Linked DNA regions of Schizosaccharomyces pombe. Changing the gene in region 3 together with the main gene of any one other region gives a genetic interaction. Each region holds a gene or a part of one and is shown on either strand. Other genes may lie near its edges.

Region 1 (4,335 bases), 1.4 Mb from region 3:
ATGGCGATCAATAGATTTTTTGTTCGCCGTCGACAGGCAAGGGCTGGACAGACCAAACCAGCAACTACACGCCCCATGGCAGAAGCTCGCGCTAGGCCTGGCGCAACAGCAGTTCCTCGCCGTTCACCTACATCTCCCCAGTCTGCATACGTTCCTGCAACTGTATATACATCTCCAATTGGCTCACCTCGTCGTGGCTCTGTTCGGTATACACATGTAATGGCACACCCGAATACAACTACTACCGTTTCTGAAAATTTGCCTGAAGAAGTCCCACCTCCATATAGTCCAGCTGCTACTGCAAGCAATACACCCCAAAATGAAGCAAGCCCTGCAGCAACCGAAGCTGTAAATCACGAACGACCAGCTTCACCACCACCAGTTTACAGACCTCCAGAGGAAATGGTTTAGCTTTGAATAGAAATGAGCGATTTTCTACAGTTTCGTTAATCCTTTCTCTTTTTCTCTTTACGAAACTAATTTACTTTAATTTTATTATCCAAAATAAATCCGTTTGTTAACTTTAAAACGGAATCTTCATGTTGAATTATTGCTCTCCGATATTTCTCCATGTTTTACTTTTGTCATTCAATGCTTCGATATGGCGATTTTTTATGTTGCCTTTAGTTTATTTATTTGTGGTAAAAAAGCAGGGATTTTTTACGAACATGATTACGAATGGTTTTATGGTTTTCTTTATGAATATTCGATCTGGACTTCAAGAAACTGATACGTTTAATATTCCATTTCGTGGGTTTTCCTCTTTTATTTTTTAAGTTTTGTGCATTCTATTTACTCTTTTCTCCTCAAGTATCACGCATGTTTCCTTGGACTTAGGATTGTTTATAACTTTGTACTTCCAAAAATTTGTTAAGCATCTGTTGTTCATTTGTAAATGTATGTTAATGATATATTTCCATGCGAAGAATAATGATGGCATTAATATTAATAAAAAATAATTTCTTTAAATCCTCTCACGATGCGACCTATAATAGATAATTAATCATTTCCGCGGTTTCTAAATTAGTATTCCAAAAAGTAAGACTAGCCACGTTTTAGTGACTCTGAGTCAGCAGTATAGCTATATACTCTGGAGAAAACATAGTCACGATTGTGAGTGAGTGGCATTTCGTTCGTGAATGAGGTATAATTATGGATGGAGTAGAAAGAAATCCACTTAAGCCTTATTCCACGAACTTGAAGTTTTTGAACGTATGTATAAGTTTGACTTGCGGGATACACAATTAGCATTTCTCCAGAAGGAGTCATTGACCAGGAGCCAGTGAGTGCTACGTTTCCATTACTAAACATAGGAGAACTCGACATAGGAGAAAAAAGACTGGTGTTTTGCACACTGAAGTTGCGAACAACATCATTTGGTTCATTACTGCTTTGATAAACGATACATGTTGAATTAGGATAAAGTCGTAAATACCGGTAGTATGTGATCAAATGTATGGGTTGGTTCCAGCTCGTGTCACTAGTTCCAGGTCGAAAGTATCGACAAACGGATATGTAGCATCCGTCAAAACGAGATCGAGGCTTTTTAAGGAACAAAGTCTTCCAGCTTTGCTGGTATTTTTCCACGAGTTCTTCCTCTATTGACTTAATAGACTGTTGCCATTCTTTTTGTTCACAACTGCAATAACAAAACGATCTATATAGAGAATCTGCTCGTAATGCCTTCGCAAAATGCTTACAAGTTAGTGCAATTGAAGAGAGATATCTTAAATCATGAAGGTCCCTAATGCAATTCTCTAGGATAACTAGCAAAACCTCGTCGGGAAGCTTCAGTATATTGGGAACGACCGACTCATTTACAGACTCATTTTCCGTTAACGTTGGAGATGGGACTGAGGAAACAGTGAGCATAGCTTCTGATGCATCTGAATTTAACATTTCCTCCTCTTCATTTCTTTTACACAGTTGCAAACGCTCCAAACGCCGATAGATAGATTCCACATCTTCATGGACTTTATGAGCTAATCGATATTTATTAAGAGATTCACCTAAATTTCCTTCTCTTTCAGATTTTATAGCATCTTTGTAATGTAAAAGTGCTTTTTTCAACAGTATATCCTTGTTCACTGTTTCAAGTTCAAGAGAAAGTTGATCCTCTACTGTACTCATCACTTATTTTATTTCTCAGACGAGCAATCGAAAGTAGATGTATAATTGAAAAAGAAAATATTTTCTTACTTATTTCTCTCAAAATAGAAAAAAAAAAAAAGAATTCAACACGAATATTAAGAGGTTAAGATAGTGCTGAACCTAACTAATGACTTTTATGTTTTTTACTTTTCATACAATTCCTAGCAAAGTATTAACAAGGATTTAAGGATTAAAAGCATCCTTTCACAAGACCTTACTTTGGTAACAATATGGTTTAGTTCATGGGTAGTTAGCCGTTGCGTTTAATATCAAGTTGTGGCGGTTTGATAACAAGAAGAAGAAGATTAAATTGAGTCAATCGTCGCTTCTTTACTGTTTAAAAAATGGACTAGATAAATATTGTAACATGTTTGAGATGCTATTTGGCTATGGGCATATTTGTAGGTGTCTTCGATTCTATCACTTCTAACAAGGCGTTAGGACTTGCGAAACCATTACATAAACTTAAAACTTGTTCAAATCAAAAGTTACTTGGCAATAAGCTAAGTGGATATTAGGATTTTAGCGATATAGAAAACATTTCGATTTGATGAATTATTGTAATAATTACCAGCTTCATGTAGCATTACTGCATTTATTTATGGTGAATATGATAGCGATTTTTATTGTTAATAAACGAGTAGATACATATCCCGCTTTGCTTTCGGATAATTCTCAGCATATCTTCGTCAAAAGCAATTGAGATTTAGATATGGTTTCGGGAACACAGTCGAAACCAAACTCATTGATAATGTACGATGCCTTCCAATCGCTATATGAATCTTGAAATAAGTATAAAAAAAATTATATATTGAAAACATTTAAAAAGCACTGTCAAGTTAAATCATTCAAGTAGCTATTTACTCATTCGCTCTCAATAAATAAAGCAAAGCGGAATGGTCCAAATAAAGTACATTTTAAGCTATTCTATTGTTTTAAAGTAGTAATTTTGTAGCTCTTTCATCCAAAAATCCAAATGACCCCTAATTCCTTTTTAAAAAAATTTTTTTCGTATTCTTTTAAAGAAATTCAAAAACTTCATGTTTACCATGACACATGTTTGATACACGCTGATATCCCACTATGCCTTCCAGGCAAATAGAATCAAACTTTGTATACATAATTCTACACTTTGCTGCATCACTGTCAAGGTTTCCTTCAGAGATGGTTCTCATCGGCATTCTAACAAGTTCAACATAAAACTGAGGATTCGTTGGGGGACCATACATCACAACAGCTTTTACACCCCTAAAGTCAAATCGACGGAAATGGTGAGCGCGCTCAGTATATAGCATTATATTGGTTCTACCTTGATAAAAAAGATTGCGGGCTCTAGTCATATCGGATACACTCGAATATTCTGATATGGCAGAATAGTTAATTCCCTCCTCATCCATGTAATTTCTCACACGAACAAAATCAAAATATGAAGGTATATAAACTAAAATACCACTCTGGGAATACTTCTTTAGTTGTACTAGTATAGAACCAGTAAAATAGGAAAAGCGGGCATCTGGAACTTTAATAATAGAATCGACAGAAATGCGAACAAAAGTTTGAGTCACTTTGTACCCCAAGCGGTTTAAAACACCGTGAAGAAGCGAGCGAAATTTAACCTTACCAGCAATATTTGACATGTAGTGAGAAAAGAAAGAATTTATATCTAGATTGTTATATTGAGAAAATAGTATAGTTTGGCGCATATATCTGGCTTGCTGATCAAGATACCAAGGACGAACACGACTGAAATCACAACCGTGAGCTTCTTTAGGCAAACCATTAAGTTCATCAAAAATGCATTCAATATGTTCCCAGTTTTGCATCACGAGAGCATGAGCTTGGTCAACCATTGCTATTTCAATCGAACTCAAATAATCGAGGTCTCGCTTTTTATCTCCCTTGTTACCAATAGCAAGACGAAGTCCCAAAGGACTAGCAACTATAATGTCAGAATTGTAAAACTGGGAAAATAGCTTGACAGTTTTTCTTGTAAATTTAACACCCAGTCGAAACATATCGTCGGTATTTCCGGAAAAAAGATAACGAAAATCTTCTGGCTTTTTTTCTGAAATGACTTCTTTTTCAATCGAGAATTCATTATCAAAACGCTTTCGATTTTCTACTTGATTAGTCCCAGAATATGAAATAAGTAAATTAATGAATTCAAAAGCACTATTCCTTGTG
Region 2 (3,633 bases), on a different chromosome or scaffold from region 3:
AGAGTTTTCCTTTCTGAAATATACGCTCTAAAAATCCTTGTCGAATTTTTAAGCTCAAAATCGCAACAAGAGCGGTCCGATACCAGTATTGTTATCGGCCAATTAGTCGGATTAGAGGTATGGTTTTCTTTATGTCTTTTTTTTTAACACCTTAGGCTTTGTATGAGAAATATGGTAAAGATTCAAAGATTTACCAAGTAGCTCGCGAGAATATGATGACTCTTTTGTCAATGATTAAGCAGGTATCCTCCACATATACCTTTATTTTACTTCCTCCTATCGATTCCTCCGAAACTTCTACTAGATATCATAAGCGTCAAGTAGACATGGAAGCATTCGGAGAAGAAATAGAGGAAGTCGTTGCTAGCTATGAAAAGAATTACAATGGTCGCTGTTATATATCTGAGGAAGCTTGCTCAAAGGCCACCAATGATTGTTCTGGTCATGGAAGATGTTCCAAGTATGGTCAGTTGGACTCCTGTTATGTCTGCCAATGTTCCAATTCCGTGGTTTCAAATGCTGCTGGCCAGAACAAAACTATTAGATGGGCTGGAGAAAGTTGCTCTAAGCAGGATATCTCTGTGGAGTTTCAATTTTTCTTTTGGTTTACTATTATTGGTTTTGGACTATTAATATTTAGCATAATGTTATTGTTTAGCATTGGACAAGAAGAATTGGCTAATGTTTTGACTTCTACTGCAACAGTCATCAAGAAAACCACATAACCTATTTTTCTGCTTTAATAATTAGATATTTTTAATGATATGTAAGAGTTGCTTCTTATGAAACCTAGTATATATAAATATCGTGCCTACATTTCTCCACATTCGACTATCGCAACGTTTGACTTGGGTCGTGAATTTGCTCCAACAGGAGTAGATTCAATTTCTTTAACAATGTCGTAGCCCTCAATTACTTCGCCAAAGACGACATGTTTGCCGTCCAAAAAATCGCAAGGAACGGTAGTAATAAAGAATTGGCATCCATTTGAGTCTTTCCCAGCATTAGCCATACTCAGTAAACCAGGGCGATCATGTTTGAGAGTAAAATTTTCGTCAGGAAATGTACGTGAATTGAAAATGGTCGCGCTGCCAGTACCATCTCCCTAATCATCAGTTAATATAGTCTAAAGGAATAATTGTAAAAAACCGGCTATGACACGGTCTTTTTTCTAACACATACACTCACAAAATCACCTCCTTGTATCATAAAACCTTGAATAATCCTATGAAAAGTACTATTTTTGTAACCTTTTGATTTTAATAATTAGTAGTCTGAATCTGATGGCCGAAAGTGCTTACCGATCGGTTTTTGATTAACTCCAAGCGTTTCTCCTGTACAAAATTGTCTAACTATTAGAAATAAAAATCTTGAAAACCAACAATCAATTGTTTGATTACCTGAAGTTTTCAGCAGTCCTAAATTCAATGTCAGCACTTTATTTCACAATAAATCAATAATTATTCAAGTTAAAAATTGGCTTTAGATTATTAATTACATACTTCGGGACTATACTGGAAAACAACCGGATCTTGATCCTTCCTAATAATCTCCCATCAATAGCAATCTATTGTCCAAAATTAGTATTTTCGAGAGTTTAGTAAATACGACGTCCATACATCCATAAAAACAACAGGTTCGGTGCTCATTTTAACAAGTTAATTTGGTAAATGTCTGGAAGATGCTCATAAAATTTTCTGGTTTGCGACTTGAAGATGCTAATTTGTATGTTCTCACTTTACTCGCTGGGTGTTGACGAACATTTGAGACTTGGGCTTTCACGAGTTGGAGGGGAGCAGAATTTCTACGAAAATCATTAAAATAATCCATCAAAGGCAATCATTTACACAAGAAAGAAATCTATTTTTCTTTGCTTTCATTATTCTTTTAATCCGCATTCCGTTATTTATTTATGTATCCCAGGAAAAGTGCGAAAAACAAGAATCCTTACAGCTAAAACTACGCTACAATTAGGCTAGCTTGTTTTTTTTTTTTTTTTTTTTTTTTTTTTTTTTTTAAAGAAACACTTTTCTTTGCTTAAAAATTCATATTATAACCGATGCTCCTAACTTGTAGTCGAAATCAACCTTATCCTCATACCTTTAAACCAGCTTAGTAGTAGTATACATCTATGTACATATACGTAAACAGAAAGGTTCAGTCAGAAGAATAAACACATAAATTGTCCAAAAAAATGAATAGGAAAGAAGATACAGAAACTGTAATAGCAGTTGTTGTAGTATACCCAAAATCATTATGTATTACTTTTGCTCCTTTTAGAAATTTTAATTTTTACTAGCGCTTTTAGATTTTAGAATATTTTAAAGTTGTTTTTCAACAGCTTTTTCTCAAACCTTGCTCACATGCTATGAGGATATACTTATTTAATTTACTTTATTTTATATGTTCTATATTTTCTATCTTTTTTTTGGCTCTGTGTTTTTTTAAAGTATTTTGATTTTGTAAATAAAAATAAAAATAATTTCAAAATTCAAAACGCTTCATATTATTAACAGTATTGGAACTTTTTTAAGACCTTATAAAAAGTTCATTAATCCGAAAGAATTGTTTTAAGGTAGTGAAGAGATAATTAAGCTATTCAATATAAAATTTCTATTACCTATAGTGTACTCGTTTTTATCTGTTTGAAATTCGAAATCCCCTTCATAGATATAATGTTTATCAATTGTTTAACAGGCAATATACATTTATCAGACCATGAATGCAGAGATTATGAACAACAGTAATAGTGTTTTTATGTTACAGTCTAAACAACGATAACAATTCCATGGTGCGAAAACTTTGGAATACTTTAGTTATTATTTGATACTAAAATACACAATTAAATAAACTAAGGAGTTGTCAGCATGATAAACTAGTTTACAAAAAATGTAATTTTTATACTTGCTTGCGTAAAATCAGGTTAAATAAATACTCATTCCAGCTAGAGAAATACAATAAATACCACTACAATAAATAAGTTAGTTGATTTTCTAGTACATCTTTCATTTATTTACTTTTTACTATATATACCACATTCACTTTAGGCTAAAATTAAAGTAGTACAAAAGAGCATTATTTGAGCCATAGTGAAACCAAAAAATCAAAAATAAATCATTTAATGATGTGTAAAGTCATTCTTTATTTAACAATTTACGAAAAAAAATTTACCACCCTAAATCTGAAAAATTCTTTTGGGCAGCGGAAATTTTATGTTTGACACAATTGCCTTTGAAAGTCACCTGCTTGATCGCGGGTTAAACAAAAATCGGGAAAATTTGCGGGATCCATATTTCGACCGAAAATACAGTATATGGAAAAATAAATATATTAAATAATAAAATACAATAGCAGAAAAGAAATATGAAAAAAATATATGTATATTATTTGTGACTGCTGATACTGTTATATACTTGTGACTCACAAAAAAAATCTTCACAATAACCTACTTCTCTCAAAAAAATCGAGGGTCAGTTTTAACTTCTTGTTGCTTGAAAATGAGTGAAGTTTATGAAGGTGCTATTGGTATCGACTTGGGTACTACCTACTCTTGCGTTGCTGTATGGGAAACCGCCAATGTTGAGATTATCCCCAATGACCAAGGTGCACGTACCACTCCCTCATTTGTCGCTT
Region 3 (7,007 bases):
TCGTCAGCAAGTGCATCAAATGCATTCTTAGGACTAGCCTTTTTGCTAGATTTTTTATTCTTGCGAACTGGCTTTTCGGAGTCCTCTTCTTCCTCTTCTTCAACGCTTTGTTCATCAGCAAAAGCTTCAAAAGCATTAGCCTTGGCCTTTTTAGATTTTTTAGAAGGCTTTTTTTTCACAGGAACAACTTCCTCATCTACTTCATCGTCTTCCGGCTTCAGATCATAATTGGAGTCGTTATCACTATTGAAAGCACTTGCTTTATTCAGTTTCTTTTTGTTCTTCTTTGCTTTGGATTTAGTTACAGGTTGAGGGCTTTCACTCTCAATCTCACTTTGTAAGCTTTCAAGCTCCAAATCAGCATCACGTTGAGTTGAACGCTTTCCCCTAGCCATTATCAAATTATTCTTGTTAAGATTAGATGAGTCTTCAATAAATGATGCAGAAAAAGTGCGCAACCAGCAAAAAATGTAATTTCAAAAGTAAAATAATCCTTGAAAGAGTTATTACAATTATTCTCTTTATTTAAAATTTTTTTTTAAAAGAATTGACCGATTATTTACCCAATTTTAAATGGACAAGCGACTTTTGCAGTTAGCTGTAGAGGTCAAATGGCATAGTGAAAAATTAATATATATGTGCAAGTGTTAGGGCCAACAGGAGGCAATTTAAGTCTGAACCTAAGAGGTTGAATTAAGAAAAATTAAACAATAAGAAGCATGTTTATAAGGATTCTTTGCTATTTACCATAAAAGTGTAGTCTCAGGCAATATTCGCAAAAAAACCTAGGAAATCTCTTACATTATTACATAGTTTATTAGGTAGCGAGAAAACCTGAATGATACGCTGGAAGAAATTTGTAAAGGATTTTTAGCTTTTTATTTTATAAACTTAAAGGGAAATTATAGTAATTAGGATCTAGTTGGGAGACTAGTCAACCATATATGGTAAAAAATACCTCTTAAATTTTCAGCCCTTAAGACGCTTGCACGGATATTTCCCCAGTTTATACAGTACAGATTTGAAGTAAACGCTTTAATCCTTTGATCCTGTGGAGAATTTAGCGAATTGTCAAAATCCCCAGGTCAACATTGCTCCATAAATTATGAACCTTTGCTAGTGCTAATGAATATTATTCAATTCAAACGAAGATGTAAGTCTGTTTATAAGTGAGCCAGAAAAAGTAAGGTCTCTTTAAGGATTTGCTCGAAGACAGGAAACTCATCATCATCTGAAACACTCATACGTCTCAATGATCGATCATTCTTTAAACGCTGTGGATTTATATAACCGGTATTTTGTCTTGAAACTTTGCGAATTGAATTCCATATTCTCAAAAGTGACGTTGAGAATGCTTCTTACTATTCCTGTTTGCGCCATGATTTGTTAAAATTGCAAAAGAAAAAGGTAATCCTGATCAAAAAAATTTCTAAATGCTCTTATACGCGTATGTCCAACTGCGTACTTATTACCAATGTTGACAGCTGTAGTACACGTACGGGGGATGTTTAAATCAATAGCAAAAACATCCTAAAAGAAATATAATCAATAAACGCTTTCAACGCTTCACAATAATTAAATTCAAACACCCAACTTTCTGATTTTCAATAACGCAATATACCTTCTTCTTTCATGTGTGATGTATTTATTTTACCAAAAATTTGATGGAATTAACTTTGACTTAGAATAAGAATTACCTTCTTGGATAAATTAGTTTTCTCAATTATTCATCAACTCAGCACACTGGCTTAAAAATTCTTTGCGTTCAACCATATTACCATCGAATGGGTTCAAAAGGAAAAAAGGGAAAATCATCGGAGGTTAATTTAGAAACTTCAAAAAACAAGGAAAAAAATATCAAAGGGAAAAAGAAAAACTCACTTGATCCAATTGAAAAAAATAAACAGGAAACAGCAGGCCTGCAAACGACTTCACGTCCTACTGCCAAACAGTTAGTAGGAGGAAGCTCTTGGACTGGAAAAATTCCTGTCGTTTTACTAAATGAACATTGCCAAAGAAGTAAATGGGAGAAAAGTGATGTTAAGGTGGTAAGTCAGCTCTTAAAAGATGCGAATTAACCAATCTATCGAACACATACTTACTAAAATCTTCTAAACAGAGGCAAACCAAATCTAAAAATTACATTTTTACTTCTGTCGTACTTGCTAAGAAGGACCCAAAAAACCCTTCGATATTAGACCATGTATCTCTGATTCCTCCCAAGTCCTATTATGAGAATGGCTACTTTCCTGAAAAAGAAACGTTAGTGGAAGCACGAAATGTTGGCGCCGTTTATGCTTTGCATCGAGTAAGGATCTATACTTATTTATTTTCAAGCAATCATTAACCAACTTTAATTTCTAACAGATAATGTCTCATAAATCATTACAACATGCCCTTCCACCTGAACATCGGAATATATGGTTTGATATGGAGAAACAAAAGAAGGAAGAGCTAAAAAATAAGCACAGCTGGCTTTACAATGAAGATCCCTTCAAAGCAGCCAAAGAACTACAGGCAGCACGCGCTTCTTCAGCTGCCAAACCACCGCCAAAAGCATCTCAGAAAAATGAAAAGGTCTCTTTGACATCTATCAAAAACACAAGCCTTTCACACTTCTCAAAGTTCAATTTCAAATATGCTCTTCCTATTCACATGAGTCTTGAAAATCGTCGCTCTCTAGAGAACCTTTTTCGCAATATGAACACGTGGGATATACTAGAGGATACAAAAAATTTAGAGCCCGATACTTCTATTGTTAATGATTTAATTTCTTTAGGTTTTCGAGACATTCATGCTAAAGAAGCTTGTCAGTACTGTGTTTCCCTTGAAGATGCTTTAGAGTGGCTAATCATTCATGTTCCAGAAGACGATCTTCCTACAAGATTTCTTCCTTCTGATTATACAACAGGAATATCTGTTCAGAATCTAAATTCAGCGAATCTGGCCATTCACTACAACGCTAAACGTATGTGCGTATGACATTTGTTCAACACTAACTATTAACAGGGATTTCGGAGACGGGCTATAGCTTTGACTTATGTTTTTCTACTCTTCAAACTTTTGAAAATAACATTCAAATTAGTTCAGAGTACTTACAGCAGCATCTAATTGGTGAAAGCTTTGATGGGAATATATCTTTGGAACCAAATAGTACCGAATGGGATGATGATGTTAGTGCTTTGCAATCTATTTTGGATAATAAGGTCTCAAAAATAGAGAATGGATGTAGAGTGCGTATTGACTACCCGACTAGTGAATTTGGTGAGCTTTTCGTCGATTTTAGAAGGCCTGCCCGTTCGTATCCTGCACACATTCCTTTAATGTCTCTATCCTCTACAAAAAGAATGGCATCCTATATTAAGTTGAGTATTCTTAAAAAGATGGTTGTTTACGCAATGGATCTTAGAGGTGAATGCATGTTATCCTGGTTGTATAATCATCTTCAGGAAAATATTGAAGACTTTTTACAAAATATTGGAAGCTTACTAAATATTTCAGCTGCAACAATTGGTGTCTCTTTATCCTCTCAAAACAAGTCTGCGCCGACTGCCAAAAAGAATAACAGTTTCAAGCCAAAATTATTTCGCCGTTCGCGCGAATTATCTGAAAAATTATGTAATAACTGGAGTGAGAGGGTTAAAAGTCCTTCATATCAATTAAAAGTTCGTGAACGTGAGAAACTCCCTGCATGGGAATCAAGGAGAAAAATTATGGACGCCATACAGCATTCTCAAGTTGTTGTTATAAGTGGTGAAACTGGTAGTGGAAAATCAACACAAGTAGTTCAATTTATCTTGGACCATTATCTTTCTTCTGGAGAAAAAGATTTGCAAACAGTTGTTTGTACACAGCCAAGGAGAATATCTGCGATAAGTTTGGCGGAAAGAGTTGCCTTCGAACGTGATACAACTGTTGGAAAAGAAGTTGGTTACAGTGTACATGGTGAAAAATCCATATCTAAAGAAACCCTTCTTGAGTTTTGCACTACAGGTTTGCTTCTTAGAAGAATTCAGCAACATGGTCTAGGCTTTTTGAGTACTTTATCTTGTGTTGTTGTAGATGAAGTACATGAAAGATCCATCGAAAATGATATACTCTTAACACTTTTGAAACTAGTAATTTCTCGTATCCCAAATTTGAAAGTCATTTTGATGAGTGCCACGGTGAACTCCGATACATTCAAATATTATTTTGGAAATGCTGGTCATTTACATATTCACGGCCGTACTTTTCCGATCAAGGATTACTACATTGAGGATTTTGCGCCTAAGCTAAATGAAGATGATGACGAGGAAGACGTTCCCAGAAGAAAGAAAAAAGAATATGAAATTGATTATCATCTTATTTCTAGACTTGTTAGTTCTATTGATGCTGAACTTGGTTCCTCTAGTGGTTCTATATTGGTTTTCCTTCCCGGTGTCTCAAACATAGCTCGTTGTATTCGTGAAATAAAATCAAAAGACGGCTCAAAATTTGAGGTCCTCCCATTACATGCCTCTTTGAATACTTCGGAGCAAAGGAGATGTTTCAAAACATACACAAAGCGGAAGATCATATGTGCAACAAATATTGCGGAGACTTCAATTACTATTGATGATGTTGTTGCCGTTATTGACAGCGGCAGAGTTAAGCAAATTGATTATGATGTTGAACGAGATCTGGTGACTTTTAAAGAGACTTGGGCCTCAAGAGCTGCTTGTCAACAACGCCGGGGTCGGGCGGGTCGTGTTAAGAAAGGAATATGTTATAAGTTATATACAAGAGGATTTGAAGAAAAAGGAATGCTAGGCCAAACACCTCCCGAAGTTTTACGGACGGCTTTAAGTCAGGTTTGTCTTAACGTAGTTCCTTTGGTCAAGAGATTTTCTTCTGCTGGTAATTCTGTGAACCAGGGTTCAATCAAAAAATTTATGAACAGCCTTATTGATCCACCGAATGATGCAACGGTAGACCTTGCTTTGAAAAAACTAATTCAAGTCGGTGCTCTCACCGTGTCAGAAGATTTAACTGGTTTAGGAGAATACTTAGTAAGTAATGATGTGTTTTTATGTGAAACTAATATAATTTTAGGTGTCATTACCCATAGATCTAAAGCTTGGAAAGCTTTTGGTGTTTGGTTCGATCTTTGGATATTTGGAACCTGCGCTTACTATTACAGCTATTCTCTCTACAAAGTCTCCTTTCTTAGGAGACGATGAAGCTAGGGAAATAAGGAGTAAACAAAGTCAAGGATGGGGAGATGTTTTGGCTGATGCTCGAGTATATCACAACTGGCTCGAAATACTAGAAACCAGGGGTGTAAAGAAAACAGTTCAGTGGTGTGAAGAGATGCATCTTCATTACACAACGTTACAACAAATTCGACAGAATCGAAACGAATTGAGCGAAGCTGCACAGCTACTTGAACTAACTACTAAAAAGCTGACTGGTAACTTTGATTGGTATTCAACTGAAAACCTGACTGTTCTATCGACTCTAATTGCTGCTGCTTTAAGTCCCAATGTTGTGAAATGTGTTTATCCTGATAAAAAATTTGTTGCTTCATTTTCTGGATCGCTTGAAATGGAGCAGGAAGCTCGCCTGACGAAGTTTTATGATCAAAACAACCAAAGGTTATTCATACATCCTTCAAGTACTATGTTTGTTAATTCTCCAAATGCTTCAAGATGTACGTTCGTGGCATATGAGCAAAAGGTAGAAACCACGAAACCTTTCCTTAGAAATTGTACACCTATCAATACATATGGAATGATTTTGCTGGGAGCAAATGATATACTCATTGATCCTCTTGGTAAGGGATTAATACTTGATCAAGCATATTGCATTAAAGCGTGGCCTAAAGTCGTTATTTTATTAAAAATGCTAAAAAGATGTCTTGATGCCTCATTACATGAGCGATTGGAATCTTCGTCGGGGTTAAACTACGAAAGTGAAATACATCAATGTATTCGTACTCTGATTGCAGGCAACGGTGTTTAGCTCCCCTTCTCTATTTCCTTGAAAGAGCATAAATGGTACAAATCACTTTTATTGTTCAAATGAGGCAGGTTATACCTAAAAAAAGATTATTATTTTGGAACAGTTTATGATCTTAATTTTTCAACTCAATACAGGACGGACACGATAAATTTTCTTTTAATATTTTATTGCCTTACTGACATTTAACATAAAAAAGGGATCATTTAACTCCGCGTCTACTTGCTTTAGGAGGTGCTGAATAAGATTGTTTATTTACCAACATAATTCATGTATTTGAAAATTATTTTTTTACTCAAACAACTGAAAAGCTAATACTTCCTTACCCGTTCACCTGTATTTACATTCCATTTTACGAGATGATAAATTTCATTAAAGTTAAGTGAAAACTTCGTTGTGCCTCAGTATCAGAAATATGGAGCTTAGCAACAGTAATTAGTATGTCTTTTGCACTCTCTGTAAGGATACGAAAAACTGTGTCGGCATTTCTTTGTAATGTATAATATAATGGAGGTAATATTACTTTGCTATCCTTAGTATGACTAGGGCTATAGAGTATACCATTATAAATATAATAATAACTTTTATCGACCTAATGGAAGAATGAGAGTTCATTTGGGCTTCATGCTTTTTATTAAGTTTTATTTTGGAATAAAGGATTAACTTGCATGTCATATTGTGAGTATCAGTCTCATGCCCAACGTTACTAAAGAGCACTCATTGTATAATGATAGCTAACGCCGCTCATATGGTGAATGATAACGATAGAACTAATTATACTGAAGCTTCGTTATTTCATTGTTATGACCCTCTCATTTAAATGACATATCTCGTACAACATCTCCTCCATTTAATTTACGAAAACTATAAATTGCCAAGTATTCTTTTCAATTCTTTGTTAAAGGATTGTAAGGTTAAGCTTGACGTTGAAATGTCTCTTTTTTGGTGCCCTTGATTGTCTCTGCCCTTAATTTACATGGACAATTCGAGAGACAAAATACATATTTTAGGAGCGGTTTCTGACACCT

The links.
Region 1: mutations in ucp12 (region 3) and pof7 together harm fitness more than expected from each alone (negative genetic interaction), as found in Schizosaccharomyces pombe (one large-scale study listed by BioGRID).
Region 2: mutations in ucp12 (region 3) and cyp3 together harm fitness more than expected from each alone (negative genetic interaction), as found in Schizosaccharomyces pombe (one large-scale study listed by BioGRID).

What each region holds. Positions count from the first base shown.
Region 1 is NC_003421.2:2,370,950-2,375,284, forward strand, and holds pof7 (F-box protein Pof7), read right to left. Parts: upstream 2,389-4,335; 5' UTR 2,131-2,388; coding exon 1,045-2,130; 3' UTR 565-1,044; downstream 1-564. Other genes in the region: SPOM_SPCC70.10 (uncharacterized protein), read left to right, coding at 1-411; U3 associated protein Utp25, read right to left, coding at 3,171-4,335.
Region 2 is NC_003423.3:1,102,959-1,106,591, forward strand, and holds cyp3 (cyclophilin family peptidyl-prolyl cis-trans isomerase Cyp3), read right to left. Parts: upstream 1,712-3,633; 5' UTR 1,650-1,711; coding exon 1,620-1,649; exon of another isoform or gene 1,568-1,619; coding exon 1,503-1,567; exon of another isoform or gene 1,419-1,502; coding exon 1,401-1,418; exon of another isoform or gene 1,349-1,400; coding exon 1,302-1,348; exon of another isoform or gene 1,251-1,301; coding exon 1,183-1,250; exon of another isoform or gene 1,176-1,182; intron 1,106-1,175; coding exon 812-1,105; 3' UTR 726-811; downstream 1-725. Other genes in the region: SPOM_SPBC1709.03 (uncharacterized protein), read left to right, coding at 1-117, 156-725; ribosome-associated molecular chaperone Sks2, read left to right, coding at 3,498-3,633. UniProt on the Schizosaccharomyces pombe protein: PPIases accelerate the folding of proteins. It catalyzes the cis-trans isomerization of proline imidic peptide bonds in oligopeptides.
Region 3 is NC_003421.2:1,016,069-1,023,075, reverse strand, and holds ucp12 (ATP-dependent RNA helicase Ucp12), read left to right. Parts: upstream 1-1,761; 5' UTR 1,762-1,784; coding exon 1,785-2,048; exon of another isoform or gene 2,049-2,080; intron 2,081-2,119; coding exon 2,120-2,308; intron 2,309-2,367; coding exon 2,368-2,968; exon of another isoform or gene 2,969-3,009; coding exon 3,010-5,030; intron 5,031-5,073; coding exon 5,074-5,982; 3' UTR 5,983-6,380; downstream 6,381-7,007. Other genes in the region: SPOM_SPCC825.01 (ATP-binding cassette protein), read right to left, coding at 1-395; SPOM_SPCC895.08C (uncharacterized protein), read left to right, coding at 6,956-7,007. UniProt on the Schizosaccharomyces pombe protein: Probable ATP-binding RNA helicase.